Linked DNA regions of Medicago truncatula. The protein of the gene in region 1 interacts with the protein of each later gene in a pairwise test. Links are inferred from orthologs where the notes say so. Each region holds a gene or a part of one and is shown on either strand. Other genes may lie near its edges. The genes, in order: transcription factor HHO3, uncharacterized protein and ethylene-responsive transcription factor 4.

Region 1 (11,567 bases):
CTTTTAGTTTTCATAAAGGATTATGTTTGTTATCTTATAATTCCAAACCTGTCGGAAAAGCCCATAAACATGATGGTTTATATAGTTTGGAATTGGATTCAAATATTTATAATAGTCTACATGTTCAAAATATTGGATATAAGAGACCTTTATTAAAGGACACTTCACTCGCTTTGTGGCATGGGCGCCTAGGGCATATCTCTAAGGATAGGATTAATAGATTGATTAAAGATGAACTCTTACCACCCCTTGATATTAGTAACTTTGATGAATGTGTGGATTGCATAAGAGAGAAATTTACAAGAAAAAATAGGAAGGGTTCTAATAGAAGTAGAGAGCTTTTAGAGATAATTCACACTGATATATGTGGTCCTTTAAGAACAACCTTGTGTGGAAATAAGTACTTTATAACATTCATAGATGATTATTCTCGTTTTGGTTATGTCTACTTGATTAATGAGAAGTCTTTGTCCCTTGAAAAGTTTAAAATTTTTAAGACAGGTCGAAAATCAATGTGGCACAAAGATTAAGATAGTTAGATCGGATAGAGGTGGTGAATATTATGGTAGACACGGTGAGACTGGACAATATATGGGACCTTTTGCCAAATACCTTGAGGAATGTGGAATCATATGTCAATATACTATGCCCAGTACTCCTGAACAAAATGGTGTGGCTGAGAGGCGTAACCGTACATTGATGGATATGGTAAGATCCATGATGAGTCATTCTAAATTACCAGATTTCCTTTGGGGAGAAGCCCTTAAGGCGGCTATGTATATATTAAATAGGGTACCATCTAAGGCTGTACCTAAGACACCTTTTGAGTTGCTTAAAAGGATGGAAACCTAGTCTAAATCATCTTCGTACATGGGGGTGTGCAGCTGAGGTTAAAATTTATGATCCGACTGCATCAAAGTTTAAGCCCTAAGACGACTAGGTGTTATTTTATTGGTTATCCTAATAATGCTAAGGGGTATAGATTTTATTGTCCTACTCGAGGAACAAAAATAATAGAAGCCATTAATGCAAAGTTTCTTGAGAATGATGTTGGTGATTCAATTGGTCATGAAACTGGAGAATCAAGTTCTAAAGGAGAAAAGGTTCTAATACATATACCTATTATACAAGAAAGAGTTGAGATACCTTTAGTTGAGCAAACAACCGAGGAACCACAACCAACCATCTTAGATAATCCACACCCTCCTGCACCCGCTCCTGAGCATCATGTTGAAGCTTTACCCATTAGACGTTCTCAAAGAGAACGAAGGCCTGTCAATCGTGATGATTACTATACTTTTCTAGGGGAGAAGGATTCAAACATAGGATGTTTTCCAGATCCAGAAAATTATAGTGAGGCAATTTGTAGTGATTTGTCCGATAAATGGATTGAGACTATGAATGATGAAATAATTTCGATGAATCACAATAATGTGTGGGAGCTTGTGGAACTTCCCAATGGTTATAAACCTATAGGATGCAAGTGGGTTTTTAAAACTAAGAAAGATGCTAAGGGAATTGTAGAACGCTTTAAGGTAAGATTAGTGGCTAAAGGGTTCACACAAAAGGAAGGGATTGATTACAAAGAAACATTCTCTCCTGTATCATCAAAGGATTCTTTTAGAATTATAATGGCTCTTGTGGCACATTATGATTTGGAACTTCATCAAATGGATGTTAAGACGGCTTTCCTGAATGGTGATCTCTATGAGGATGTGTACATGCTCAACCTGAGGGTTTCATAGAGAATAATAAAGAACACTTGGTGTGTAAATTGAAGAAGTCTATATATGGTTTAAAACAAGCATCAAGGCAGTGGTATATTAAGTTTGATGAAGTTGTTGCTTCCATGGGTTTTGAGGAGAATAAGGTGGATCAATGTATATATCTCAAGGTCCGTGGGAGTAAATTCATTTTCCTTATTTTGTATGTAGATGACATTCTACTTGCTAGTAATAACCTAGATTTACTTTTAGTGACCAAGAAAACCTTGTCCACTTCTTTTGATATGAAGGATCTAGGTGAAGCCTCTTTTTTTGATTTGGGTATTGAGATTCATAGAGATAGAAACCAAAAATTATTAGGTTTATCTCAAAAGGCATATATTGATAGAGTTCTGAAAAGATTTAATATGGAGACTTGCAAGCCTGGAGATGCTCCAATAGTTAAAGGAGATGAACTTAGTAAGGATCAATGTCCCAAGAGCAACATTGAAATGAATGCAATGTCAAATGTTCCATATGCTAGCGCAGTAGGTAGCCTGATGTATGCTCAAGTATGTACAAGACCTGATTTATCTTTTGTTGTGAGCGTATTGGGTAGATATTTGTCTATTCCTGGATATGCTCATTGGGTTGCTGCTAAGAAGGTAATGCGATACCTCCAGAAGACAAAGGACTATATGCTTGTTTTTAGGGAAGTTGATGATTTAAATGTCATTGGATATTCTGATGCTGATTTCGCTGGATGTCCTGATGACGAGAAGTCAACTTCTGGATATATCTTCAAGATGGCTGGCGGTGCTATATCCTGGAAGAGCGTTAAGCAAACTCTAACTGCCTCATCCACAATGCAAGCAGAGTTTGTTGCATTGTATGGTGCTGCAACCCATTCAATGTGGTTAAAGAATTTTATCTCAGCTCTTGGTATAGTTGATTCCATTTCTCGGCCATTGAAGATATTTTGTGATAATAGCTCGGCTGTCTTCTAAACTCGTAAGGATTAAATTCTTAGTTGTTAGAGAAATGGTGGAGGATAATGAAATTGAGGTTGAGCACATATCCACCGAAGAAATGACTGCAGATCCATTAACTAAAGGGCTTAGGCCGATTATATTTACAAAACATGTTGAAAATATGGGAATTGTAAAGTCCTTTGATATTTTTAATTAGTGGGAGCAGACATTAATTGTATGTGTTCATTTTTAAATTAATGAATTTATTCTCATTTTCTTTTGATTATTTCTATCATGCTTAAATGCTTTTTTTTATTTTTTATTTTTTATTTCTAATGGAAATTTTATTTGAGATTTGTCTCTGATTTCTCTAGTGGAAATGATGTTTCATATGAAATGTGATTTTAATCTCTTTGGGGAGATTGTCATTTCTTTTACGAGAAAGAAGTTGTGTTCCGTAATGGAATAGTGTTGCATTTGAAACATGAATCTCTTTTAAGGGATTTGATTGTACTTTCTTTGAAAGGTACAATGAGGACTTGTACACAATAGTATACAATGATCACAATATATATACTATGATGTGTGTTGCATTAGTACGCTTATTTGGTGATTATGACAACAAGAAATGTTAGTTATGTGGTTGTAGGTGATATAAACTCTTAATAGTCTAATTTTCACCTATAGCTCTAGCTGATAGGTTTTTTGCTTGTCGGCATTGATCATGGTTAATGGTGTCCTAATTCATGCAAACTATGATCAAGGTTTATTGTTCATTATGAGTAAATTATATTTCATGATCTGTAACTCATTAACCATTTAAAAAATAATAATCTTGATTTGCTTAATTGATTTAACTCTAGCACATAAATATCTTAACAATTACAACATGTGAATAGGTTGTATTTAAGAAAATTTCTACCGTCCTTGTTAACCTAACACTGAACCATAACCATAGAATTTTATTTTTCGAGAAATAATCATATTGATCCTTAAATGTGTAACGAATAGTCATAATAGTCTTTCAATATATCAAAATTTTAAAATGATCCTTGATTGTGCATTTTGTTACTCAAATTAATCTTTATCGTTAAAATAGTTTTTCAATGCTGACATTAACTCTTTTTATAGGATGACTGATATGACAGTAAGTAAATACTTGTAGAGGCTGATATGACAATTAAAGACTAATTTTTTTGGACTAATTTGACAATATTAAGAAGCATTTTAACTTAAAAGACTATTTTGACTTACTCAGTGCACAATCAGAAACTATTATTGAATTTTTATACATTGATGGAATATTGCGACTACGTGTTATACATTCACAAACTAAAATGACTATTACCCTTTATTTTTATGAAGTAATAACCAGATATATTTATTATTTTAACTTTTTCAAAGAATATTATTTTTTAAATCACTTTTAAATATTATTTTTATTAATGTATTGTTAATATTGTAATAAAATGTATAAAAATTAAGTGAAAATTGACTTTTTTTTTTGAGGGAAGGTGAAAATTGACTAAAATTTCGTATTTAGCATCTTAAATACATTTCAATTAAATATGTAATTTTTGAAGAAGATTCACTACAAACAGATCCAGCAATAAAACCATCAAACCAGTCCCAAAACAACCAAAAATCTTTGCTTAAGCCTTTGTGATGGACAATGAGTTGTTATGAAGACTAGATAAAATTTGAATTTATATCGTAAAATTTGAATGTATGTTTCCAACATGATCAAAATAATGCTTGAAATCAAAGTTTAGTGATAAATGATGGATGATGTAGGAAAAATGTATCCTGACACCAGTTTCAAAGCTTTTCTTCTTTTATCTTTTTTCTTCAACATGATTTTAAGTAGCAGCAATGTAATCAGCAGCTAATTCACCTTCGATCAACTTAATTCAAAAGCCTTTCTTTTAAACCAGAGCCTTTAAGCATCCTGCCATGGAATAGTCTTAACAACTCTAAACCCATTTGGGGTTGGCCTAGTGGTTGGCTTGGGATCTTGGAGTTTGCTCCTCCAGAGGTCTCAGGTTCGATTCCCTCTGCCAATTTCGGTGGGCTAAGTCTTGCTCTGGCTTTAAACGGGGCCCCCGCAAGTGGGCGGTGGAATTGGTCCCCTCAGATTAGTCGATTTTTGGATCGGATACCGAGTTTTCAAAAAAAAGTCTTAACAACTCTAATAATAATTTGATTACAAACGCAGACATGAAAAAAAATAACAACAAAGAAAGAAATCTCAACAACACTAAACCCAGCCAACACAACACCAAAATGTTAAGGGAGGAACTTAATTTGCATGTAAATGTAGCATGGTGGTCAAATCGGGATAAATTAACCAAAAAATAGAACTTAAAATATCATATATAAATTCCAAAATACTTCAAATATCATATATAAACTTCAAGATATTTCAAAACTCAAGTCATAAACAAAAGTAAATAACATAAAACATCCTTAATTCAATCAAAATCAAACATAACTCAAAATTTTAAGAATACTTCAAAACTCAAGTCTAGCCTAGAATACTTCAAATTTCAAACGATTGTCAATTATTTTCCATACTCAAGTGTAATATCTAATGAGTCACACAAACCTGACCCGATATTTGATGGGTCACTTCAAAAAAAAGGGTAAATTTAGGGTTTTCTGGTCCGCCAAACAAAAAATCATCAAAAAAAGTTGTTTTTTCCCCCTAAAAAACAAAGTTTTTTGATGATTTTTCTTACAACTTAATTGTTACAAAAAAAAAAAAACTATGTTGCTTTTATCATTTTTTTTTAAAATATATGTTGCTTTTATCATAAAAAAATAACAAAAAAAATATGCAACAAATAAATTTGTCGTAAAAACAAGATAATTAATAAGTTGTCGAACTCAACATCATACTTAATAACAAAATAATGAAAATATACCAACATAAAAACAAATACAACAACCAAAATAAATCCAAAAGAAAAAATAAGTCTAAAACAAAAAAGAAAAACAAGTTAAACGGGTCGGTCCACCTCGTCACGAGTCGGCCCGTTTTTTTAACGAGAGTTAAGCGGGGCGAACCAACTTTGAAAAGCGAGTTCAAAACTTCGACTCAGCCCGCCAAAAATAGCGGGCTAAACGGGCCGGCCCGACGAGTTGGATCCGTTTTGCCACCCCTAGTTGGTAGGAACAATGCATTATATATGCAAAGTCGGGGTTCAAACCCCATCTATCACCAAAAAAAAAACATGCAAATTTACACCTGATGGAAAAACCTAAAAAAAAAACAAAACAATGTTTTCCTTTAACTAAACAAAGCAACCTTGTTCACGTGAGCTTAGCTCAGTTGATATGGACAATGCATAATATATGTAAGATCCGAGGTTCAAACTCCTGCCACCAAAAATAAAAAAACTAAGGCTTAAATATGAAAATTGTCCCTGCAAATATCTGACATTTTGGTTTTAGTCCCTGTAAAAATATTTTTTTGGTTTTAGTCCCTGCAAATATAAAAAATTTGGTTTTGGTCCCTGATATTTTGTTTTAGTCCTTGTAAAAGTAATTCATATTGGATTTGGTCCTTGTAATATGTAGAATATTTGATTTTAGTCCCTCAAAATGAGGACTAAAATGAATATTATAGGGATCAAGTTCAATATGAAATGATTTTACAAGGATTAAAACAAAATACCAAGGACCAAAACCAAATATTCTATATTTGCATGGACTAAAACCAAAAAAATATTTTTATAGGAACTAAATCCAAAACGCTAGATATTTACCGGGACTATTTTCATATTTAAGCCAAAAACTAAACAAAGCAAGAATATAAAAGGCATCAAAGATTCGTCTTAGTATGCGACGACCCGAACTCAATGTTTATAAGCCATTCTCTCTCTTCAAAGTTTATTCCAAAATTTGATTCTATTCAGATCCCATATTCTTCATTGGTGGATCCGTTTTTCTGTATTTGGACAAAACCTCATTCATTCCCTATATATTCATCCTTACCCTCTTCCTCAAACTGTTTTCCCTCAACAACACATTCATATAAATTTTTATGGTTTCAATGCAATTCCACCACAAAATGCACTCTCATAAAATGGAATTTCGTGACTATATCCTAGCATTGGAAGAAGAAAAGAAGAAAATTCAGGTTTTCCCTAGAGACCTTCCTCTTTCTCTTGAGCTTGTTACACAAGGTAAACAAAACAAACCAGAAGAAAAAAAAGAATATACCATTTTTTTATACCATGTTAAAGTTTCTTTCATTGGTTTTTTGGTTTGTGTTTTTCTACTTTTTTCTTATATGTTATGTTTTGTGAATATGCAGCCATTGAAACTTGTAAGCAACAGTTGTTTGGAACACAATCGGAGTGTTCGGAACAGACATCGACAGATGAAGGTCTTGTTTTTGAGGAGTTTATTCCTATCAAGAAAAGGGCATTGTCCCCCGATTGCGATGAAAATGATGAGGAAGATGACGACGATGAGGAGCAACATTCATCACATAAGATGAAATCTGATTGGCTAAGATCTGTTCAGTTGTGGAATCCCAACCCTTCATCTGCTAAAGAGGTATAAAATTGCAAAACCAAAGTCGAATTTTTTTTGTAGGATTTAATCATGGAAAATTACACTGGACTGAAAGGCAAACAGACAACAAGTTGTACCACTAACTGTTTCTGGATGGCAAAACCGAAGTTGATTTTAATAAATGAATTTTTATTTTATAAGCAAACGTTGGTAAATTAGCGATTTTGAACTGTGAAACTTTTGATCAGGACTTCTTCCGCGTCACTCAATTCATCAAGCCTATTGTCTGCTTGATACATTGAATGGAATTGTTCCTTTAGAACTTTTTGTCTGTTTCATAATTGAAAAGAAATTAAGAGAATGTGAAATGTTTGTTCAGGATGTACCTAGGAAAACAAATGTCGTAGAAGTGAAGAGAAATGGTGGAGCATTTCAACCATTCCACAAAGAGGAAATCGCTGCTGAAAAAGATAATGCATTAGAAAGTGATAAAGCACCAACCAGTTCGCCTCAAGTACCAGCTACAAGTTCTACCGAACCAGTTCCTGAAAGCGGCAGCAAAAAAGACGATAAAGGTCAGAGAAAGCAGCGCCGTTGCTGGTCACAGGAATTGCACAAACGCTTCTTGCATGCCCTTCAACAACTTGGCGGTTCAAATTGTGAGTGAATATATTACTCATCAGCATAATTAGTACATTCTTCTAATTAATTGTTCCAAATGTAATTGTGAATTGTGCGTGACATGTTGCAGCTGCGACGCCAAAACAGATCAGGGAACTAATGAAAGTCGATGGCCTCACCAACGATGAAGTCAAAAGTCATTTACAGGTTAGTTATTTTTTGTTCCATTTCTATAATTTGTATAATTTTCTGTCTCAGACCTGGATTATATGTGGCTAGTAAACCCTGCAATCCACGGATTTTTACCGTGGATGAAGATTAGACATCTCGTATTCTGATTATACCAAATCAAGCTTAAATTATAACTCGAATACGAGCTGTCTAACCTTTAATCTAACGGTCAAGATCCTTGACTATCAGAATTGCGACTGCATAGAACTCGAATTCATATTAGCACATATCACTATACGATCTTCTTGATTGTTAATTTTTCTTGTCTATGATCAAAATTATGGTCTAACTTTTTTTAATTTTCGGACATGGACAGAAATTTCGTCTGCACACAAGAAGAAGCCCAATAATTCACAACAATTCTAATTCACATACAGCTCCTATGTTCTTGGTAGGGAACATTTATGTCCAACCACAAGAATATGCTGCAGTAGCCACCAAAACAACAGTGTCAGGAGAATTAACCACAGTTACTACTCCAACAGGAATTTATGCACCTGTGGCTACACATCCTTCATCTACAACCACAGTTATAAAACCAAAGTCTAAGAAATTTGAGTTGAGTGAGAATTCACATTCTGTAGAAAGAGTTGTTGCTCATTCTAACTCCCCTGCCTCATCATGTTCCACTCATACACCTACAACTTCAAGATGCTGAAAAATAATTCATTTTTGTAGCTATGTTTTAGTAGAGTTGTTTTGTTTGGGACTTAAATTATACAAGTGAAAATACAGTGAAAGGAAAGTGACATTTTTGTATGTTAAGTAAATAAATCGCCCTTCCTAGGCAACATGTTCAACTTTATCACATTGGTGGTCAATTTGTGCGGTTTCTATTTTCTTTGGTTAAAAAAATTGTTCGGTTTTTTTTTTATCAAGTAGCCTAGTGCTAGAATTCACCCTTTTCAAGATGAATAAGTGGGGTGTCCGGGGTTCGAACCCCTGTTCTTGTATATAATAATGCATGTCAATGTCAATTGAGCTATAGGGATAAATTGTTCGGTTTCTAATCGATTAAATTACCATTTTAACATTGAAATTGTACTGGTTGAATAATTTGATACTTAAATTTATGAAATGATAAATTAGTTTATGTTACTCTTTTTTTTTTTTTTTTTTTTATACAGAAATCAATATTAGTCTTCGATGTTTATCAATTTTATCTAATCCTTAATAATTGAAAAATGCTAATTTTAATATTGAATATGTGAACAAACTCACAACATCATCCATATTAATGGCATAAAACAGCAAAAAATCAAAGTTTACACATATGACTATATTTAAGTCTCCGGAATATCAATGTCTCCAGATCTGCAAGACGACTCCAAAGTCATTGATTTGATCTGCACTAGATCGAAGCTGATCTGACAATCTGAATCGAACAAATACCTGAACGAAATAAGAAAGACAAACAATGTCGCACAAAGACGACGAACAAAACAACGTCGCACTAAGACGACGAAATCACAAAAGAAAAACCGAAATAGATGTGAAAATTACTTATTTTAATAAAGGAAAATAGAAAAAACGAGTTAGATTGATGATTTTCGATCAAATATTGACCCTAAATCATCTATTCTTTGTGGATGAAGGAGAAGAAATTAGAGTTTTGGTGACGGCTCACAAAAGAGAAGGGGAAGATAGAGCCCGTCTATGTTATGGTTCCTAATTGATCAGATTTGTAACTTTGGAGATGGATTATCCAATTTTTTATTTGGCATGATAATGATGTGATGGGGTTAATACTTAATAGGATTCTAACGTCTCATTAATGATTCCAAAGGGAAGAATCTGAGAATATCCTACAGAATATTTGCAATGACCACAATGTCGATATTCATTTTATCGTTTGACGTTGTGTTGCATAGGACAAAGAAGTTGGAGATATATTGCTAGCCAGTGGCCACCGGGAGTTAAAAATGCCAAAAGATTCTTGATCAATAGTACTCTCTTTGGTCACGTTTACAGCTAAAAAATAACTTTTTAGATTTATTGAATAATTATTGTATATAGTCTATAAATATGACCAAATACATTAATTATTCAATGAATCTAAAAAGTTGTATTTTATTTATAAATATGATCGAAAGAAGTACATCTTCTGTCCCAAAATAACTGAGTCATTTGTATAAAAAATGTTTTAACATAATTGCTTTTTTTTCAATATTAATTACTTTTTTCAATTAAAACTATAATTGGTACTACTTCATCATTCTCAATTCAATATATTCTGCTTTACATTTATGATAATGGAAAATGCTCTGATACTTGACAGGATACTAAAAAAAAAAATTACGGGTCAGGTTTTGTTGAGTCGTTCGTTGATGGTCCTTCTCCACCAAAGAGGGGTAGTTTACTTGCATGTGCTTTGACGCCAAAGTCAATAAAGGTTCAAAAGTTATGCGGCTATAATATGGGTAAGAAGCATACCTGTCCCAGGGATAAAGCATAGGAATAAGTAGTGGTCAAGTAGGGCTTGGATGTCAAGCCTTATCCATACTTGGTAGTGAGCAACTCTCGACCTGTGCGTGCATGAGCAACCCCAGATCAATGAGCAACTCTCAGCCCGCACTATGAAGGAATAATGTGCCCCTAAAAAACATTGAATAATGTGAAAAGTTTTTCGTTTATGAAATCACACTATTGAAACATTGAATAAGAAAAAAGGTTTAATGGGCAAAAGCTTCAATTTTTTTTGGTGTCGGAGTTTAAACCCCAAACCTTACATATATATGAATGCATTATCCTTAACAGCTGAGCTAAAGTTAGGGTGACAGCAAAAACTTCATTGATTCTATGGAAGCAAAGCCTTAAGAAGAAAATAAGTAAAAAAAACACAACCAAATTGACGGTCAAATCATTCAATAGGCCAAAATATCTAGTTATTTATATTTTTCGTAGGGTTATTTGTTTAGATATTAAATTGCTTAAATCCACAAAATTAATCCATGCGCTTGTACGTTATATATCTTGCTTGATACTCCAAAGAAAATATTCATTCTTATCACATGGATAAACTCGAATCTTCTTTAGCTAATGTTAATGTCAATTTCTTATATTTATATTTACATATCTTGACTTTAACCAACTATTCCACCCTGCATGATCTACATGCCTACCAATTCCATTAACAAAGAAATATATTCATAGCACTTTTTTTTTTTTTAAAGAATATATTGTTAATACTTGAATATAAATTACTTTTGACATTTGCCTTTACACAGTTTTTAGAAACAATTTTTTTGGGTAGTATAATATATCAATAGTTGACATTTTGATCACATGGACTACACTTATCACAAACAATTTTTAGTTATTTATATGAGAAATGTTTTTCTATTGATATTGAAAATGAGAAAATCATTTAAAGTTTCCATAATATGAATAATTCTATAGGACAATTACTAATGCTACAAATTTTTATATATAGTGCGCCCACTATTCAAAAATCCTGGATCCGTCACTGAATGTGACCATATCCAAATTTGTTTCCATCATTACATCAATAAGTTTTACC
Region 2 (10,724 bases), on another chromosome or scaffold:
TCACTTCATATGTTGGGACATAATAGTTAATATAGACTCACATTGGACCAAAGTGAATCATCCACCTGCTATATAAACTCATGATATGTAATCCAATTTATTTATTTTTTGTTAGTGGAACATAAGAGTTATGCAGACTAATATTCCTAGTCAATGTTTACCCTTTTAAACTTTTAATATATATTGATTTTGCATTGCATGTCTGCAGAATGTGGCCATTTTTGGGTATTCAAGGAAGAATATAACTGACGAAGACCTACGATCCATTATTGCTTCGACATTAACATGTCGAGTTGATCATCAGTATGGTTTTCTTTTCAATTCCCAAATTACTACCTTCTATATATAGTTTCCATTCATAGACAAAATCTTTAGTAGGTTGCACTGAATCCTTCATATGCCAACTTGGGAAACTGCTTTCTAGGTAGTGATTTATTAAAAATTTACAACCAATTTATAGCAGAGAAAATCTATCAGTAAATTTACAACCAATTCCACTTTTGCAAATAAATTGCCCCATTTCATTTGAAACAGAAAATTATAAAGCTTTCTGGTTTGAAAGTGAATTAATGAAGTCCATCTTCGTTTTTCCCACTGTATACGGTCAATATTGTAGGATACTTCTACCTTTTACTTTACATTAATGTGAAATATAAAATCTTCCAATTTCAGGCAGGATTGTGGGGACAAAATAGAAGCTTTCCTTAATAGAACACACTACATCAATGGAGGTTACGACAACAAACACGGGGTGTCCTTACTGAAGGCCAAAATGGAGCAGATCGAGGTAGCTTCGAACAAATTTCTCTAATTTTAGTAGTATGTATGAAAGTAGTTCTTTTCTTCTCAAGTGAGTTCCTGTAGTGTGTAAACTCTTTACGAGCTGTCCGCCCTTTGATATTTGATTCTACTACAGCTTATTATCTACTTCAGGGAAGATCCAAAACCAATAGGATTTTCTACCTTTCTGTGCCACAAGAAGCACTTTTGGACGTTGCTTCATGTCTTGCAAGCAGTGCTCAGACCCAAAAGGGATGGAATCGCATAATAATTGAGAAGCCATTTGGATTTGATGCTCTCTCTTCCCAAAGGCTGACACAATATCTTCTCTCGAAGTTTGAGGAAAAGCAACTATATAGGTATTCATACCTTCTTCTCCCATTTTCACCCATATGCTCATGCACACAAATGGATGCGTGACTGGTCGGTTGATTTGGTCCGGTATTTGAGAGAAAAATTTAATCCAATAAAAATATTTGGTTCGGATGAACCACTTGGGCACACTCAGAAATACTGTTCATAAACTGATGATTCTCATCAATCTGTTGTCAGGATTGATCATCTTCTAGGAAGGAATCTCATTGAAAATCTCACAGTTCTAAGGTTTGCCAATCTAGTTTTTGAGCCGCTATGGAGTCGAACTTACATAGATAATGTGCAGGTCAGCACCCTTGTTTTATCTGATTGGCATCCCTGAATTTCTAAACTTCAACGAAAAACCAAATGTCTATTCTGAAATTTAATGTTTGTTATCATCTTCTTAATGCAATTTCTGTAGGTCATTTTATCAGAGGACTTGGCTGTGCATCCAGGAAGGTGATCATATTGGTTGTATTGTCATTTGAGTAAATACACTACAACGTGTCATTCTGTACTGAATATGCATAAACAAAATTACAGTCAACGTGTCTTTGCTTGTGATATGATTTCAGCTTAATGCTTTGTTACCCATGCAGGTATTTCGGTGGCTATGGGATTATCCGTGATATTGTTCACAGCCATGTGCTCCAAACAATTGCATTGCTTGCCATGGAACCACCAGTTAGCCTTGATGGAGAAGATATTCGAAATGAAAAGGTACTTGTACAAACTATAATCTATAGCATACTTAGTGATGTGCCTTAACCAACTTACTGAGTTTGATAAGTAATAAATTTATGTAAAATATTGTTGCCATGGTGATTAATGTTACGTATTGAAATCATTCGGATAGAGAAATTTAGCTAAAACATGATTAGTCAAGAAAAGGAAAATAATGCTATGCCTTAAACAACTTACTGAGTTGGATAAGTAATAAATTATGTAAAATATTGTTGCCATGATGATTAATGTCATGTATTGAAATCATTCGGATTGTAACATATGGTTTATGATAGAACACTATGGCGTAATTTGATCAATGTAAGTCAGCGCCACTTAGTGGGGTAAGGCTTGGTTGTGGTTGTATTGAAATGATTCGGATAGAGAAATTTAGTTAAAACACGATTAAAGCATAAAAAAAGAAATAAGGAAAATTGGTGAATTCATGCAAAGGAAATGAACATATGACTGTCTTCCAAGAGTAAGGACTTCCCCCTTCCCAATTAATCGATATTGTACTTTCTACGTAGTCTGTTCACCTGATGATCCGTTCTGTCTTTTTAGATTCATCATACTATCCTTTTATACTGTCAGGCAAAAATAACTATCAGTATAGGCTGTGACATTCCAGCACCGAGGTGTCGATGGCACTGTGGGGTACTTTGAAATACGCAGGCAATGCAAGCATGTGTAAGTAATCATGTGCTGACTGACCAACACTTCGGTGCTGACTATCACACGAGTAATTTGCCTTTTTCCCAGTGCACAATAGGTGCCGGCATTCTGTTGCTCAAATGCTAGAACCATTGTGTGCTTTTGAGTGAATTTGAGTTCTACTAATTCATTTCCTTCGCGTATTAACTACTAAATAAAGAAACAATTGAAGAAAAATTACCTATTTGACATGTCAAAAATGTAAAATCTTAAATTCTACAGAAATTACTCTAAAACATATTTATCCATGCTTAAATCACAAATACACCATTGCTATACATAATAACTGCTTTTAAGGACAACTTCTTAAGATGTTAGAGTGGTTTGTTACGAATGACAGCTTGAAAGATGCATGGTTTCCATTTATCACCTAGTACAAGTAATTAGCTTCTTTCCAGGTCAAGGTTTTAAGATCAATTCGCCAATTGGAGCCCAAGGATGTCATTCTTGGCCAATATAAATCAAGTTGCAGAGACAAAGTTGATAAGTGCTTAGATGGTCCCACACCTACATATTTCGCTGCTGCACTATACATTGACAATGCACGATGGGATGGTGTACCGTTTTTGGTTAAAACAGGCTTAGGACTCATCAAACACCAGTAAAAATTATCATCGTTTTGTCAATTTTATGTACTAGATTATATATTTAGATTCCATGGCATGCCTGTCCCTGTTCCAGTATTTTCTTCTTATTGCTGCGAGTTTAGATCTTCTAGATGGGGTGTGTGTTGAGCTTGTAATAATTGCAAAATTTATGTTGTTTCCCACTCTGACAAAGTGGTCAAATAAAGGGGAAAAGGACTGATTCCTTCTGTCCCTGCCCCCAGGTCTCGCATGAAAGAAATATTGGTCTAGATTTTATTGCTTGCATGCAATAATTTGTTGAATGATGCAATTTATAGGCTTATGTAGAACTAGTCGGAAAATTTGTTGTTCAAAACTCATGTCATTTTTTGACAAAGGTTCAAAATTTTGTATTAATGCAGAATGGAGATACGAATTCAATTTCGACATGTTCCAGGAAATGTTTACCGTGAATGCATCGGGCACAATATTGGCCGTGCCACAAATGAGCTCATTCTTCGTGATGATCCTGATGAAGCCATTCTGGTGAGAGTTAACAACAAGGTTCCAGGATTAGGCTTAAAACTGGACTCTTCAGAATTGAATCTGCTTTACAAGGACAAGTAAGCACTACCGTGTTTGATTATAGTATTTGTTTGCATCATACCTTGACCAAATGCTTCTAACCCGCGTGCTTGATTAAATATCTTTTATCTGCCTAATTTTGTTCATTAATGTTTTTTAAGGTACAACATTGAGGTGCCGGATTCATACGAGCATCTTCTGCTTGATGTCATTGATGGGGATAATCATCTGTTTATGAGAAGCGATGAGCTGGCAGCTGCATGGAACATTCTAACTCCGATTCTGAATGAGATAGACAAGGACAATGTATCAGTGGAGCTTTATGAGTTGGGTGGTCGCGGTCCGGTTGGAGCATACTACCTCTGGGCAAAACACGCTGTCCGTTGGGTAGAGGATTAGCATTTCTATCCCTTAAACTCGTTACTGTGTTCATATTCACCTTCCCAGTTACCTTGGACTACACCACCAAGGCTATAAGTATTTTTTAATGTACTTGAACATATAATTGGCCTAATATTATGATCTTGAAAAGTGAAAACTATAGTTTTTGAGTGATTTTTGGGAGGAAAAGGGAAGAAAAGTAACTAAATAAAAATGGAAAGCAAAGAGATGAAGGCTAAACAACTTTTCTTCTCTTCTTTTAGAGGAGTTTCAAATATGGGATGTCTGAAAGATCATGTTTCAGTATCTGTTAAGGTATTTTACCTTCAGTTACTTTTTTCTTTTATTAGAAGATTGGAGAAGATACACACTAGTATAAAGATTGAAACTCCTATTACATTTACTTGGAGTATAGGATTACGTATCCTATAAAAGTTAAAACGTTTAAGTGCAAGCTAAGCTTTATCTTTCTCTCTTAGATGGCTTTATGAAATTTTCGTTGGTGTTTGTAGTTAAGTTTATATTTACTCCTTTATACACACTCATCTACTTGGAGGTTTTTTTCTACCCTCTTGTTTGCGTGGTGGCTGAGTTATGAGTAGGTCATGTTACTGATCATGTAGGATGATCAAGTATGTCACTCAAATGACGTTTAACTTAGCAGAGAAATGAACAAAAACAAAACTGCATATTAAGCAAGAATGTAAGTGGCGTAGTTCTAACTCAAAATAGTAGTTCTTCACCCAATATTCTAGAATTTCGTGGGAAAAAAGAAGAGGATTGCACGTGGATAATCTCATCCCTGATTTCATTCAACTGTATATATGGACCACAGCAATCAGCATCATGAGTTGTCTTTGCATCCATCCATACCTACGTCACGTGCTAGCACAATTCTGATAACTCTACTACCCTGATGAAAGTATCCTGGCCATTCTTCCTCACCATGATTACCATTAATGACAGTGATTAGTATAATTCCAGACACTATCATTCAAATTCAAAGCCACTTTTAATTAATTATTTAGTCAAGTCATTTAAGACCAACCCTATTTGTCATTGCCTTTGTTTGGTCGCATAGACTTGAAATTGGTCATTTGGTCTACTAATTCAACAATAAATTAAGGGTCTTGTAAACTATGGCCCGGGGCACGGGTTAAGGAATCTATAAATAGATTTTTTGTCTTGTAAATATAAACTGTCACTTTTTATCAAGTAATAATTACATTACTTTTTAATAAAAACTTACTTCTTTTTATGCTTAACCAATATCCCGGGGACACTGGTTAACATTCTCCTTAAATTAATCAATGAAAAACTATTCTTTGTTTTTTTTTACTTTCTTGAATTCCAAGTTGCTAACAAATACTCCCTCCGTCCCTAATTATAATACCCTTTTGAAAAAAAAAATTGTCCCTTTTTATAAGACCCCTTTATTATTTCCAACTACATTAATTATTTTTTTACATGTATGCCCCTATTTATTATACATAATTTTCTTCAATCAGCAATAAATATCATATTGGAAACATAAATCAATTCTCTCTTAAAGGATAAAATTGTAAAAACAATAGTAATTACAAACATATTTAATACAAATATCCACTATCTTAATTCCCGTTATTTTTTCAAAAGGATCCTATAATTAGGAACGGAGGGAGTAATTAAATAAATATCTTGTTTGTCATACACGTTGTAACGCGGATTTCAGAAAAGATTTCAATCTGATAATGATATTGTGTGCCCGGGTTGAGACACTAATTATTCATTAAGGATTCAATTTTCTATGATTAATGTTTTTTATGGGGTCCATTCATGGTATGGTGACCTATACCTATACCTAAAGTATCCTCTTTAGTGGAACCATTTACCCGCAAGATGCTCTGCAAATAGGTAGTCATATAACACATAATAAAGGTCGAAATATTACGTAATGGGGATGACGAAAGATGCTTCTTTATGCTAACTATCTTCTCACCTCAAACAAATTATCTTTTGCACCAACTTACCATTCTACCCTCTCTCTTTCATAAATTATTTTAACTCCTTAGGGGCATATTTGTCAATCCAATAATCTTGACCAAACGCGGTATTGACCTCACACCTCTATTACAAGTCAACATGGTTTTTGGTTCATTGTCCTTTAAAAAAAAATGGTTTTGGTTCATTGAATTCAGTAAACAATTTCATTGTTCATTTGCTGACCTGGCAATTTCAATTCAAGTCGGTTCATTGATCAATTTATTCAATCTCATTGTTTATATAGTTTCAAATTTTTCAATCTATATTCTCAATCAATTTACTTCGCTTTGGTTCTTTCTTTTGTAGTTGGGCTAAAGAAAAAGAGATGAAAAACTAATATTTATGTTCTCTTCTCTTTTTTTTAAATGATTGGCTAGGAATCACATTAAGTGATTTATATTCTGTTGTCTTATTTTATATAGTTATGTTATGAATGAATATACAATATAAATATAAACAACTACCTAGCTAGCTCCATAAGTCTTCTCAATATTATTCTTGTTTTCCTCTACACGGCAAATATAAATATACAAAATATATATAGTTAGTCATATAGGCTAGCTAGTGTGTTGATACAGTAATTGAGGAGCATGGAAGGAGAAAACAGGAAGAGAAAAATGTTGGAAGATGAAGAAGAAAATGATGATGAGAAAATGGAGAAGTTCTTTGCCTTGATAAAGAGTACAAGAGATATCCTCTCCAAAACAGACAAGAAGGTGGGTGAAGAAAAAAAGGAAAAGTGTATTTGGAACCCAACGTTTCAACTTGAAGATTTCATTGCTTGTGAAGAATTGGGAAAGAGTAATGTTTCTGCTGCAGCTGGTCCTTCTTCACGGCAAGAAAAAGAGGTGATGATAATAGAGAAAGAATATGTGCAAGAAGAAGTAGCTGCAAGTGCAACCACTACAACAGTGACACCAAAAAACCAAAATGAAGACAAAGAGAAAGAAAAAGCAAGTGATAATAGCTTAGACTTAAATCTTTCTTTGTAATAATACCATACCATATGAAGGTTTGGCTACTACGTAGTATCGACACTTTAGAATTAAATCGAACATATATCTAGTGTCCGTTTGATTACATTCAATTACTTTCATTTCTCAAATTATTATCCACGTCAACGTGTCTGTGTGACTGTGTCTGTGTTAGTGTTTCATATATTGACTATGTTGATGATAATTTGCTGACGTTAAATGTATTGCCTTTCATGATTGGCCATTTTGTTGGTGTACATTGTAAAAGAGTTATCAAGCTTGTTAATTTGGATTTTATCAATTTTCTCTTATAATTTTTTTTTTTATCATGTGATAAAAATTATGATCAATTTTCTCTTATAATAATTAATTTGTATCATGTGATAAAAATGATTAATGTAACTAATAAGAATTAATGACCTTTTTTTTTTTAGAGATAACGACGGTTAGTTGTACAGAGTTCATAAGCTCATTTTAGATTCTTTTTCTTTCATATTGTGACATTGCCATGTTAGCTGAGAAGGACCGCATAGATTCGGCAAGCATTATATTAATGAATTACTTAAATCCTACAAAAAGGAATGCTATCAACACTATCTTTTGAGCACTCTCCCTAGCATTCACTCTTTTTATTGGGTGAAATCAATGTATGTCCCACCACTTTATGTGGGTTCCATTTCCAAATTGTAGGTCCTACATTGATTTTACCCAATAAAAGAGTGAGTGTTAGAGAGAGTATTCAAAAGAGAGTGTTGCTAGCACTCATCACCCTACAAAACATATAAAATTAAATGTTTTTAATACCTATAATTTATAAAATATTCCCATTTCATTTTAGATCCTACCGTAAAACATTGTCATCCACTTAGAGGGGGAATGTTTGTGTTGTGGATTAATGCAGTGCCTGATATGTATACGCAAAAACTAATATCTTTTTTTTTGAAGGAATAAGCAAAAACTAATTGGTTTAAGAGACAGATCAACTTTGGCTTAACGGAGGTTGATAGAAAGAACTTATCTGAAACAAACTCGAAACTTTAAGGACCTATCTAAAACCATAGAAACTTAAAGGATCTATACGAAACAAACTCGAAACTTGACCCATCTGAAACCTTAGAAACTTAAAGGATCTATCTGAAACAAATATGAAACTTGAAGGATCCGGAGAGGTATTTGGCCTAAATTAATAATAGAGGCATAGCGAAAAATACATCATTTTTTCTCATTTGTTCTTTTACATAATACAACATTACAAAATCAAACACTCTCCTTTGGCAAAACGAAGACACTATCTGAACCTGGCAACAATGCAACATGGGTAAGGCTTCAATTTCATGCTTGAGCATAACCAAATGGCAAAACCTGTTCTTAGAGAAGTACATAGACGGTAAAACAGCAGCTAATGAAATAATAGTAGTTCACTATTTTTCACCCTCTTGCATAGTTTAATCATTGTAAGATATCAGTGACAGAAGAAACCAAAAGGTATGCGTGGCGTGGAATAAGCTGTCGATAGTATCTTTGAAGCTATCCATGTATTTGCAGCCTCGGTATAATGGATTCCATCCCAACTCACATACCGTGATCCTTCATCACAAACTTGATAACCAGGTTGACCGCATGTCACTCTTGCATCAAAATTATAAGGTGGCCCTCCAAAGCCGCAGCATACCATTAGCGGATTTGTGAAACCTATTTGATAATGTATTAACAAACTTCATCACAATCATGATAGTAATAATAATAACACTCAACAATGTTTTTCAGAGGAAAGTGCAATAACTTGATTCCACTGAAGCAGAGATTTCATAAACAGTGTATTGAAAAGCATTTTTTTTACGTGTTCGCTTCCAATGGAACCTAGAACTAAAACAATATGATGTCGTAATAACTTGATTAAGATTAGCATCATAACCCCGAGTCTAATAATAATCAATACTTAATGAGAATAAAGTGCTTGCTTGGATTATTACCATATTTGGTGGCATTTGTGATGAGGTCATTCTTAATGGCATAAATATCAACATAGACTAAGGTAGCATCCTTCAATTCAGTTCTTAATTTCTGACTTGAATGATACAGTGCTTCGTTAAACAATCTTGCAGCAGAATTGTAACTAGAAAGACATCCGAATGAATCCAGATCCTTCTTCTGAGACAGTGCAATTAATTTAGGAAGACAGCCAAAGGGCCCGGTATTGTGAACCCAAAATTTCCTTCCACCTTCATTATACAAACTCTGCATACAGATAAATGAACTAAGCATCAAACCAATGGAGAACCAATAATAAGATCAAGATTTTTTGAACAAAAATGCACATGTCGATGATCTGAATTCAATGAAGAAGTTTGAGTGAATGAGTAGCAAACGTATGGAATAGATATGAACATTGTTCTTCTAAGCTAAAGAAAGTGCAATATCCTTTATCCAATTACAAATGAAGTACCCTGAGTAATAAAAGAATCTACCCTATTGCAGCATCCAAAACGAAAACACACAATAAACTTCTCATGTGTGCATGAGGTCAATCCATGCCAAGAATCTTATCGGATAAACTCATTGTTTGAAATGAGCAAACTGAATTTGATTTACAATGAAATGTATATATATGTAATCAGGTGGTATATGGAACCACTGCCACGATAATGAGTTACAGTGTGTTTTATAATTATTATAAACTAAAGTACCAAACCGGATTTTATTATGTACTGGAGAAACCTTTTATTATAAGTAGGAATCGAACTACCCCAAGGTTTACAACACTCGCACATACTGCACACCAACCACTTCACACTTTTTTATCCTAATTTTGATTTTGGGAGAAAAATTCAGCAGTAGCTACACTTCTTATCTCTCTTATCTATAATCTATCGAAATCAGATAAAGAATTTAAAATCAAGAAATTTAGAGATGGAAACCTTGCTACAAAGTAAAGGAAGTACTCAATAAAAGGAAAAGGGGAAATTTAATTTTCTGTCATAAAGGATGAGCCATAAAAGTGAAAAAAAAGTGGATCCGTTTTCCTCTCAAAAAAAATAGTGGATCAGTTTTATGATCACACACAGACCATTTAGCTATACCTAAATCGCCATTATGAAACAAATAAAATTAGTCGGACTCATAGGTCATGAGCAAATTTAGTCAACAGTTTGAAAGAGCACTAAACTGACCTTAACAGCATTCTCAATTTCAGTGATAACTGTTGGGATCCTCTTGATGACTTGCACATATGACAGATTTTTGGTAAATGAATCAGCAAGGTCATTTTGCCCAATATCAATCAAGTATAGTGCATCCCGGAAGCCTTGGTCGTTGATCATATTTTTTGCACCTATTTGCATTGCAATTTGCAATTAGTTCATTCTTGGATTTAACTTCATAAAATATTTTTAAATGATTTTGCACTTTAACTAGCATAAGAAATTTACTTGAAACTGATAACAATAGTGTGATTCCTCAATTTCATCTATATGTATCAAATTCATCATATCTAGATAGTTTTCTTTTCTTTTCTTTTCTTTGGTTTCATCGATTTTAATGCAACCAGTATGAAATATTTTTTTATCTGTCTTACTCTCCTCTACTTTGCACCAATCACATAACAAAACTCATATATTCTGTT
Region 3 (10,477 bases), on another chromosome or scaffold:
TTTCTAATGACGCGTATTTCCATTAGTAATATTTGTTTTCTTATGATTCTCTTGCTTCAAAATTCGGCAAAAATATGGGCTTCAAAATTTCAGTGGTTAATGTGTGTATTTTGATTCCGTATAGCTTTGGGACTTTGCATCAACCTCTCAAATTAGTGTAAGTAAGTTATAATCAAAACTAGTACAGCACGAACAAGACAGAGACAGAGACAGAGAACAACTCTCACTATAAGGAAGAATGAGATAAAATCAGGAAAATGTATGTGATTTATTAGTTCGGTAAGCTAGGCAAATCTAATTTTGTTTCTACTTTCTACACATGGAATTGATCAAGGGCTGCTACGACTTGCAATAGTTTGTTCTAGGCTTATAATATGACAAATAAAACTAACTTCTTTGTCAACCGTCAATTGTAGATTTCTTACCATAGATTTGTTTGTAACGACTTATTTAAATATATCTATTGACATAAGTATTTGTGAGATGGCTTAAGAGAGTGAATAGAAAATATATTGATCTAATATTAGAGAGATTGATAGGTCGAGCTGGAACATCATCTGTCAAGATGAATGTTGGTGGGTCGTACATGCAAAAAATGTGACGTTATAATCATTAAGAGAGTAAAAAGTGAGATTTATCAAGTGGAAGAGAGTGTGTACCTTGCATTGTAGTGAAGGATGTCTTTTATATGCAACAAAGGGGATCTCTTGGGGAGTAATGGGTGGTTTGTTATGGACAACGCTCATGAATGAGCTTGGCTTCGACAACTGTTAATAGCCATTGTGACGTTACATAACAGGGAGGATCCAAGGTTGCAAAGAATCCGATTAGACCTTCGTTTTCTCTGCCTTATGGGTTTTGGGTCGGTACATAATAGTTTCCCTCCAAGTCGTCCGTCCAAAGTTAATAGTGGTGACTTTGTAATCTGTTGTACAAGGAGAGTGTGGTGGGTTAAATGTCCATTTATGTTTTCGTTGATGAACTAAAGAGGATTATTTTGAGAAGGGTCTTTAAATGTGTTAACGATGACAATAATATGGTGATAATTCTCTGTTCGGACACAAATGTTTTGACTTTTGCTCAAAGTGTTGAGAAAAAGAAGTGTCCTCATTCCACTTTTTCTCAACGTTGTGTGTGTTGTGGTCTTAATTAGAATTCATCAAGTAAAATTTTATATTGTTGGTTTAATAGTGAGGGAATTTGATTTGATGAGAGAATACTCGAAGAGAACCTTTTACTATTGTTTGGGACAATTCACTAATTAGATGGTTTTTCAAGGAGGATCGTGCTAAGGAAGTCATGTTCATGATCATTCCGACTCCTATCCTCGAAAACGTGACTTCAATGGACTTGATGATTGGCCTTCATGTGCCAAGTATTGAGCTTATACTTTTAGCACTTGAATGCAAATATTTGTTGAATGATGATTGTAACACCCTAATTTCCACATTTTATTTTTATAATAAAAATGCATTTAAAATAAAGAAACGTGCGAGAGTGTCACACTTCTTAATCAATAAAAAAGTACTCCATTTAATATTAAAAACATCATAGTCGAAAAGTTCTCAAAACATCGAAGTAAATTTTCACATCTAAAACATCCACAACAAAACTGAATTCTAAAGAATTCTAAACCAGAGTCTAAAATAAAATAAACTCCCAATCCCTGGTGTCACAGATCAGAGCATCGACTCGATAAAAATCACAAAAGAAAGTTGTAAAAGAGGAATAGGCTCCAAAGCCATCCTCGGAAGACTCACTGCAACTAAGTGTCATCAGCCTGTAAGTCTCTAGTTTATCGAATAGATGAATTCCTACGGTTGAGTCTCTCCCTGAGCTCTTCTCTATTTTGTCTCCTTTACCTCTTTTCTCCACAACCCTATTTTTCTTGTGATCTCTAATCTTTTTCTTTGTTTGTTGTAACCTTATTTTCCTGATATTCTCATCTATTTATAGAGACTATTTAAGGTTTAGTTGTTCTGAAACTCTATTCTTATCTTTTAATAAATTTAAAATTTATTTATTTTTATTTTCTCACATAAACTTTGGACACATTAACTACCTGCACCCCTACTTCCATATTTTTACCAAAAAAACTATTTTCTTCTTAAAAATTATTTTCTCTCACTATTTATTATAGTTTAGTACTCCATCCGATCCTTTTTATAAGAAAAGAAACCAAAGATCATCAAAACCAAGACAATCATTAGTGGTTGTAATTTTTTGAATGTTTTTACAAATATACCCTCATAAAAAATTGTGAAGTATTAAATATACCCACTAATATTAAAAGGACAAACATTAAATTAGGGTTGGAAAAGTCTTTTAAACAATAAATGTAACTTAAAAGTCACAACTTTTTCTTATATATTTGACCAAAGTTTTTTTTGAAAAATTTCTTATAAATAGGACCGGAAGGAGTATTTATTACTCCCTCCACTTTTATGCTTCATTTTGTTCTTGTTCTTGCTTTATAATGTTCATAGAAATAGACTTTCAAAGTGGTGGAATTTTTCTTTCAAAAAAAGTGGTGGTATTTTTTAACTCCGATGTAAATATATTTAAAAAGTTACATTAATTAATAACAATATTGATCTTGATGTTTATTTATTTTGCTTCTTATTATATGGAGTAGAATAAATATTTCTTCGCCTCGATGTGTGTCTGTCTTGATTTTGATTGATTAAACTAATAGTTACGATGTGGAAACCAACAACTTTTTTAACTTGTCAAAATATTACAGCTCAATAAACATATCAACAAATCAAAACCAACACTAAAGCGATAAATCACTACAACAACAAGGTAAATCAAAACTTGAGTCAAAATCTTTTTTATTCATTGGTAGATGTTGGTTATAAAATTACCTTTGAAGTAAAAAAGTATTAATATGAACATTTTCATGTACTAGAACACAATCTGAGGAATAAATTATCTTTTTTTTTTTTTTTTATCTCAGTTGCTCATGTATACCATTTATACAAAAAATTAAGAACGAATAATTGAGTATATGTACCGTCGAAAAAAGGCAAGATTAGATTCTAATTTCCATGAGAGAAAACAAAGTATGATTAAACATACTTTTGTTCTATTGAAGCCAAATAATAATCTCGTTGATTGTTACCTATTTTTATCGATTTAAAGTTTAGATAAAAATCACTTATTTTCTTTTCTTTACTCTAATTTTCTCCTTCTTTTATTTTTACAGAGTATATATGAAAATTAATTAGCAAATAAAAAAGGTTGTTGGAAAAGAATTTCAAAGGGAGAGAAAAAGAAAGGACGGCAGTAGAACGATGATGACATTTCTATCTAAAGATGGCACCATATTCCTGTGCGTGTCTCCCGCAAGGGATCCAAACACCACGTGTCACTCTCTCAACCCATCTCCACTCTCCACCGTCCGATCAAATCCGAAACATTCAAACAACTTTCTTCATGATCCATCTCACGCGGCGAAGAGGCGGAGAATACCGACAAATGTCTTACACTTAAACGCCGTCATAAAAGTGACGGTTCAGTTAACTGACGTTAAATAAGAAACGCAGCCTCGTACCACGTGTCGGGTTTAAAACGAAGCAGCGTGGATAGGGGCGGCCCTGTCTTAACGCAATTATTTAATGATGTTGGTGGGTCCCACTTTCACGCTCTCTCTCGGCGCTGGGGCGGCGCGGTGCTTTAAATCCAGTTCAGTCAACTTTACCTCGTTGACCGTGCCAAGTGTTTTCTTAACATGGGTGAGGTTTGTGTGGAGCGTGTGAGTACGCGCTTTGTTTTGTTGAGCGTGTGGGGTACTTTTTTGCTGCACGTGTAACCGATTTCACTGTTTTTTTTAGTAGGAGTAATCTCTTTAATTCTTGTTGTCTCTTCCTATGGAGATGCTTTTATACCTCATTGCCCCCTTTTCTTTTTGCATTGCCATTATAGCCCCTTGGGTGAGTTTTCCTTTCTATTCACCAAAAATCAAATATGAATTTTCTGTTTAAAAATAATCAACAATTTTACATTGGACAATAAAAGTGTATAAATGAATGAAAGTAAAATTAATTAGAAACTAGAATTGAAAAAAAAAAATTGTAAGTATTGTCTCAAATGTAGGGAGTATTGCCTTATAATTTCCTAAAAAAAGAAGTTAAAATGTCATTTCTTTTGAAACTCTTCTTTACAAATAAGTCACTCATTTTTTCAAAGATTTACAAATATGTGACTTATTATTTGTCATTATTGTATTTCCTTATTTAGTTGAAAATTCGGGTTAAAAATATTAGAGGATGAGTAGTAGAGTATTCCATCCGTGTCAAAATATAAGCAAAATTGACTTTTTAGGTTCATTCATTTAATGATGTATGTGGTCATGAACCACATACATCATTAAATAAATGAACCTAAAAAGTGAATTTTGCTTATATTTTAAGACGGATGAAGTATTAATTATATGAGTGTATTAATTGGGGAAAACTAGTTTTGACCGAAAGTAATTTGACTATGTCTATATGACTTTAAAAGAATGAATAATGATCTCAAACGAAGGACTCCAAGTTTGCTAATACTAGTAAAAAAAGATTTACATTAACATGAATATAAATTAATCGGATATTACAAATACTAGTATAATTAAAGTTCATCAAAATTACTTTTATAAAAAAAAATATAAATAATGATTGTTAGAATACTAGGAGTGGTTTTCCCCTAAAAAAAGAAAAAGAGGAGTGTTATTTGAACAACCATTTGGTTGACAATTTTTGGGACAACCATAATTTACAAAGAAAAAATTGGTATTTGCACGAAAACCAAAGCAATAAAGAGATAAAGTAAAAAATAATGTAAATATGAAAGAGAAAGTTGTCACAAAAATTATCATAAAATGAATGTTCAAATATCATTTTAAAAAAAAAAAAAGTATAGTAGGAATGGTTTTGGCAAGTTACCATAGGTACCACAAGAAGACAATAAAGAAAGGGCAACCAATGTTTCGGTAGTACCATACCAACACCAGAACTAGAAGTGTGAAAGTTATTTTTAGGGTAAAGAGATTCGACAGTTAAGATGCCGAATTTTAGCATAAAATGCCGTTTTCCTATTTTGCCAGCTCCAGTACCACAGCACATTTTGCCGTCAAACATGGGTTTACAGTCAATGGTGACACTATTAGTGGAAAATCTACTAGCACGCTCCAAAAAATGAAATTTTTTTTTTTCTGATCCACTTTTCGAAAAAAAATTCAAGTCTGACCCCCTTTGGAAAAAAATTCCCAAAATGACCCATTTTTGGTTTTTTTTTTTTTTGTTTTGTCTTTTAGTGACGTTCCCGCCACCTGAAATGGCGGGACTGGCCGCCGGATCTGACAGCCGTCGCGTCAGGCTGGCGCTGCTTTTTTTTTTTAATTTTTTTTTCGTTCCCGCCGTTTCATCTGGCGGGACTGATTATTTTATTATTTTTTTCGTTTTTTCTATTTTACAATTAAATAATAATGATAAATATTTAATAAAAAAACTACTTTCTCCGCGGAAACCAATTACGCCAATGTAAACTATGACCTCCCGTAGCACATAATTTATCTTTTTTTCGTTTTTTCTTTTTATTTTTTTGGCAGCATTGTTTTACATTTTTTTTTTTGAACAAATAGCATTTTTTTACATAAAATAAAACACAACAAATAATAATGATAGATAAAAATATATTAATTTATTTGAACACATAATACATAACGTTATTAACTACCGATTATTTAAACTCGGACAATTTCTCCTAATATGACCGGTATGCCGACACAACCCACACCGTCTCGGTGTTGGAGTCCTCTCCACCACCTCCTCGTCCATTTCAGTCCTTATGCGGGTACTATTGGGTCGACCTTTCTTTAGTCTTCGCATGTTTGGATTATGGCAAAGCACGGGAGGTCATAGTTTACATTGGCGTAATTGGTTTCCGCGGGGAAAGTAGTTTTTTTATTAAATATTTATCATTATTATTATTTATCATTATTATTATTATTATTTATCATTATTATTTAATTGTAAAATAGAAAAAACGAACAAAATAATAAAATAATCAGTCCCGCCAGATGAAACGGCGGGAACGGAAAAAAAATAAAAAAAAAAAAGCAGCGCCAGCCTGACGCGACGGCTGTCAGATCCGGCGGCCAGTCCCGCTATTTCAGATGGCGGAAACGCGCTAGAAGACAAAAAAAAAAAAAAAATTCAAAAGTGGGTCATTTCGGTATTTTTTTTTCAAAGGGGGTCATATCTGAATTTTTTTTGGCAAAAAGGGTTAGAAAAAAAAAATTTCCCAAAAAATCAATCACTTATATTCTTTTCGTAATTTAAATGCCAAATAAAGACACTTTACGTTCAAATATCATTTCGCAAACTTAAAATAGGAAAGAACACAACCTAAAATGAATGAAATTAGAAATTAGAAATTACAAAAGTTAGTCAACTTTTTTTTTTTTTTTACAAAATGTTTTACTACTAGTGATTTTTAGGTGTAGTCCAATTGAAGGGAACAAAGGTTCTAGATTAGAACAACAATGAATAGGGAAATGAGGAAAAATAAATGAAGCTCTCGAGTAACTAACTAAACCAAAGACAAAGAGGATTGGGAAACAAGCAGCTTGGAACAAAAGTGGTTTGGTTCGTGTTAGAGAAGACACGTTTTGTGTAAATAACAATCGCTTAAAAGGAGCGTAGCTTTATAACTCCTCACACCACGCAGTCACGCACACACGCACGCGCCGTAGTTTCTTCTTCTCTCTCCTCATTCTTTCCTATAAAACCACCTTATTCTCCCCCTTGTTTCCCTCAGACATTGTCTCAGTTTCACAATTCACAAAAAAAAAAATCTCTTTATGTTCATTCTGTCTCCCATTAAACCAAAAAACAAAAAACTTCTCACTTTCAATTTTCAATTTTCTCACAATGGCTCCAAGAGATAACAGAATCACCAACACCACCACCGGGCCTGGGCCAAACCCATCAGCCCAGGCTCAAGCCCAGAAAGAGATTCGTTACAGAGGTGTAAGAAAACGTCCATGGGGTCGTTACGCCGCTGAGATCCGTGACCCAGGTAAAAAAACACGTGTCTGGCTTGGAACATTCGACACCGCTGAAGAAGCAGCGCGTGCTTACGACAAAGCGGCACGTGAGTTTCGCGGCTCAAAAGCGAAGACAAATTTTCCAACGCCGTTGGAGATTATCAACAACGGTAGCCCTAGTCAAAGCAGCACTCTTGAATCACCGTCGCCACCTCCGCTTGATTTAACTCTCACACCATTCTCCTCCTCCCACGGTGGTGTTACCTTGGCCTATCCGGTGGCGCGTCCTGTTTTGTTTTTTGACGCATTCGCACGTGCTGAAACAGCCCTAACCGTTGGCCGTCGTGAGATGTGTGGATTTGAACGTCCCATGGCTGATTTTCGACGCGCCGCCGTGCAGAGTGACTCTGGTTCTTCTTCCTCCGTTGTTGATTATGAAGGTGTGCCACGTCAGAGACTCTTGGATCTTGATCTTAATGTTCCTCCACCACCTGAAGTTGCTTGATCTGGATCTATTTTGAAGACCCATAAGCAAAAAAAAAATTAATTTTTTTTTTTCTTTTCGTTTTTTGAAGTACCCATTTTGATGAACGGAATCACTCTCGTGAAAAATATTTAACGAAGAAAGAGAGAGAGAACGCAAAGTGTGTTGCTGACATGGTGCTCAGATTTGTTCATGAATATGATGATAACGAGCACGCTTTGTAAATATAACTGAAAGAAGGAACCTTATTAATTTTTGCAACTGAGAACTTGTTATTAGTATCTCATGGTTGTTTCTGCAATTAATCTTAAATTATGAATTGAAATTTTAGTTAATTACTCTATGATATGTTATGGTAGCATTTTTATTTGATTTCATTCTAGTTTGTTTGTTTGATCAAAGTTCAAACGTTATCCACTAGGTAGAGAATATGTATATTTTATGTTCACTTTTTTTAAGGTACAGTTCAGATTTGTTTCTATGTATTCGGTTGGATTTGGCTGTGGAGATTTTACGATTACAAGCATGTGAATGTTGCCGCCGCTGTGAGTATAATTAGGTTAGGGTATTTTTTTTCTCAAACGAACGTTCTTTGATTGGTTTGTTCTTTTCGAATACTAGTACTAGTAGTAATGGTTGTATTTTTAATTGATGTTTGGCTACACTAGATTGTCAACATGGGCTCCACTTTCTATCAGAAAATTTATTAAATGTAAGGTTTGTTGTTTCACCTCAGCAAAAAAAAGTAAGGTTTTTTGCGTGAATCAAATGACTAAACAATTGTGCTTCTATGGGAATTTTGATTGAACATTGTAAGTTAATTAGGTGAATTTAATTATTTTTGAATGAAACAAATGACTTTACATCTTCATTTCGGATTGAATTTTAGACCACAAATACACTAATTGTAAATTTGTTGAAATTGTCTACTTAAAATAAAACAAAATCTCAACTTTTATAGTAAAATGTTTAACACAAATTTTAAATTCTTCAATTAATGAATCGAATTCGATTTGAATTATATTAGTCTCAAAGTAGCAAACAGAAGAAAGGAACATTTTGAGGTTGATGATGAGAAGCGTGGGTATTTGATCTGAATGGTTCAGAAGAGTCAATAATGGTTGAGATCAAATGGATTAATGGTATCGTGATTCGTGTATTGATTGGCTTATCTTGATAACGGCGTGAATCTCAATGCAAAATTTAATCCTACGGCGTTATATGCGGCTAGGTCCACCAAATAAAGATAGAGAGAGAAGGGTCCTCGTGTGTGTGTGAATCTCATATTCCTGTGTTCTGTTGTGTTGCGTGTTGTTAAAAAAGGAAAAAATGATTATTTAAATGAGATTAATTAACTAATGTTAATTAAAGTGCAGGCGGCACCGACGGCGAAAACACTGCGTACGAAAAGAGACCGAATCAGAAGCGGGCGTGTTTGGCGGTGGGCCCCAAACGTGTTGACTATGTGTCTGTCGGATTTCATGTTGTCTTCACGTGATGTTTCAGCGCCCCCATCTTTTCTCTGTCTCCACCTTTTCCTACTCTTTTTTTCTTTCACATTTCCAAACTCTAATTTTGGTGGAACAAACTAATACTCCAACTCCAATCTTTTCATTTAAATTTAATAAATATAAAAAATTCCTTTTTTAAACATTTAAAAAATCATTAATAATACTTACATTTAACCTTTGTTTTGTTTGAGAGAAATAAGAAAGAGAGATTTAAAGAAGAGAGAAATAGAAGAGAAGTAACAAACTTCTCTTGTTTGGTTTGAAGAGAAGTTAAGAAGAGAAAATAAAAAATGGTGGGTCAAATGTCATTATACTTTCTCTTCAAACTAGAGAAGAAATTGTGAGGAATGGCAGGAGAGAGTTTGCTGTTCAGATTTTTCCATATAAAAAGAGAGTTTGCTGTTTAGATTTTTCCATATAAAAAATCACTTTTGCCACTCATAATATGCCTGGTAAAGTGATAATTTTAATATTAACTAAAAAAGTGTTGTTTTTTTATTAAAGAAAATAAAGAACCTGATATTTTAAAAATGTATCAAAATCTGACGTTTAAATTGTATTTATTTTAAATTTCTTTTTTGACAGAAGTTGTATTTACTTTAAATTAAAAAAACAAAGATAAAAACTAAATAGTATATGGGTTCATTTTAATTTAAAAATTAACTAAATTTAATCAAGGATATATTTGTCTTTTTCAAAGGAAATATAATATCACTTTTTTATAAAAATACACTTCTCTCTTCCCTATTTCTTTTCTCTTATTCCTATACCAAACAACCTCTCAAATCTACTCTATTTCTCACATATTTCTCTCTTCTCAAACTCTCTCTTACCTATTTCTCTCTTTACTATTTCTCTTCCAATCCAAACACACTATTAATGAATTATGTTCAAAATATAAATATACTTCAATTTTATTCTATTAGGGAAAAAATATACTATACTTCAATTCGTTTAAATATCTATTTTTGAAATAGCCAAATTAATGCAATATAAACAAATAATCAAAGTAAAAACCACCGAGTCAAGTGTTAAAGTTGATTACTAATACGTGCATATTTTATAACTAAGGAATGATCACATATAAGGTGCTCTGCTTACTAGAACTGTCATCTGCCTGAAATGGAATCTCGCATCTTGAGAGATAAGTTTGAAATTTAATTTCGTCTCTCTCTTTTTTTCTTTTTCTTTTTGCCTCGTTACATTGTAACAGTACAAAAAAAAAAAAATACTAAGTCGTGCTAATCAGTGTCCTGAATGTATTGATTAAAGAAATCAAAAAGAAAAGTTTTAATTTTATAATTACATTTTTTTTACTTTTGAAAAATTATTACTTAATTTTCAATGGGATACTTATTATATTTACTTCCTTAACTAGTGTCTTGAAGACACCGGTTAGCATTTCTCATAAAAAATATTAAATATGTTTTATTCATTAAATTATATATC

What was found.
Region 2: the proteins of transcription factor HHO3 (region 1) and uncharacterized protein interact in binary tests that used the Arabidopsis thaliana proteins (3 or more experiments, as listed by UniProt). The link is inferred for Medicago truncatula from reciprocal best matches to the Arabidopsis thaliana genes AT1G25550 and NIMIN-3.
Region 3: the proteins of transcription factor HHO3 (region 1) and ethylene-responsive transcription factor 4 interact in binary tests that used the Arabidopsis thaliana proteins (3 or more experiments, as listed by UniProt). The link is inferred for Medicago truncatula from reciprocal best matches to the Arabidopsis thaliana genes AT1G25550 and ERF4.

What each region holds. Positions count from the first base shown.
Region 1 is NC_053046.1:24,429,221-24,440,787, forward strand, and holds transcription factor HHO3, read left to right. Parts: upstream 1-6,515; 5' UTR 6,516-6,719; coding exon 6,720-6,861; intron 6,862-6,992; coding exon 6,993-7,237; intron 7,238-7,574; coding exon 7,575-7,854; intron 7,855-7,946; coding exon 7,947-8,023; intron 8,024-8,363; coding exon 8,364-8,705; 3' UTR 8,706-9,080; downstream 9,081-11,567. UniProt on the Arabidopsis thaliana protein: Probable transcription factor involved in phosphate signaling in roots.
Region 2 is NC_053048.1:52,917,352-52,928,075, forward strand, and holds uncharacterized protein, read left to right. Parts: upstream 1-6,286; 5' UTR 6,287-6,718; coding exon 6,719-7,120; 3' UTR 7,121-7,346; downstream 7,347-10,724. Other genes in the region: inactive glucose-6-phosphate 1-dehydrogenase 4, chloroplastic, read left to right, coding at 209-303, 673-787, 934-1,139, 1,333-1,441, 1,559-1,596, 1,737-1,857, 2,973-3,175, 3,563-3,763 and 1 more; GDSL esterase/lipase At1g09390, read right to left, coding at 8,565-8,794, 9,076-9,340, 10,273-10,433.
Region 3 is NC_053043.1:38,971,819-38,982,295, reverse strand, and holds ethylene-responsive transcription factor 4, read left to right. Parts: upstream 1-6,792; 5' UTR 6,793-6,917; coding exon 6,918-7,538; 3' UTR 7,539-7,889; downstream 7,890-10,477.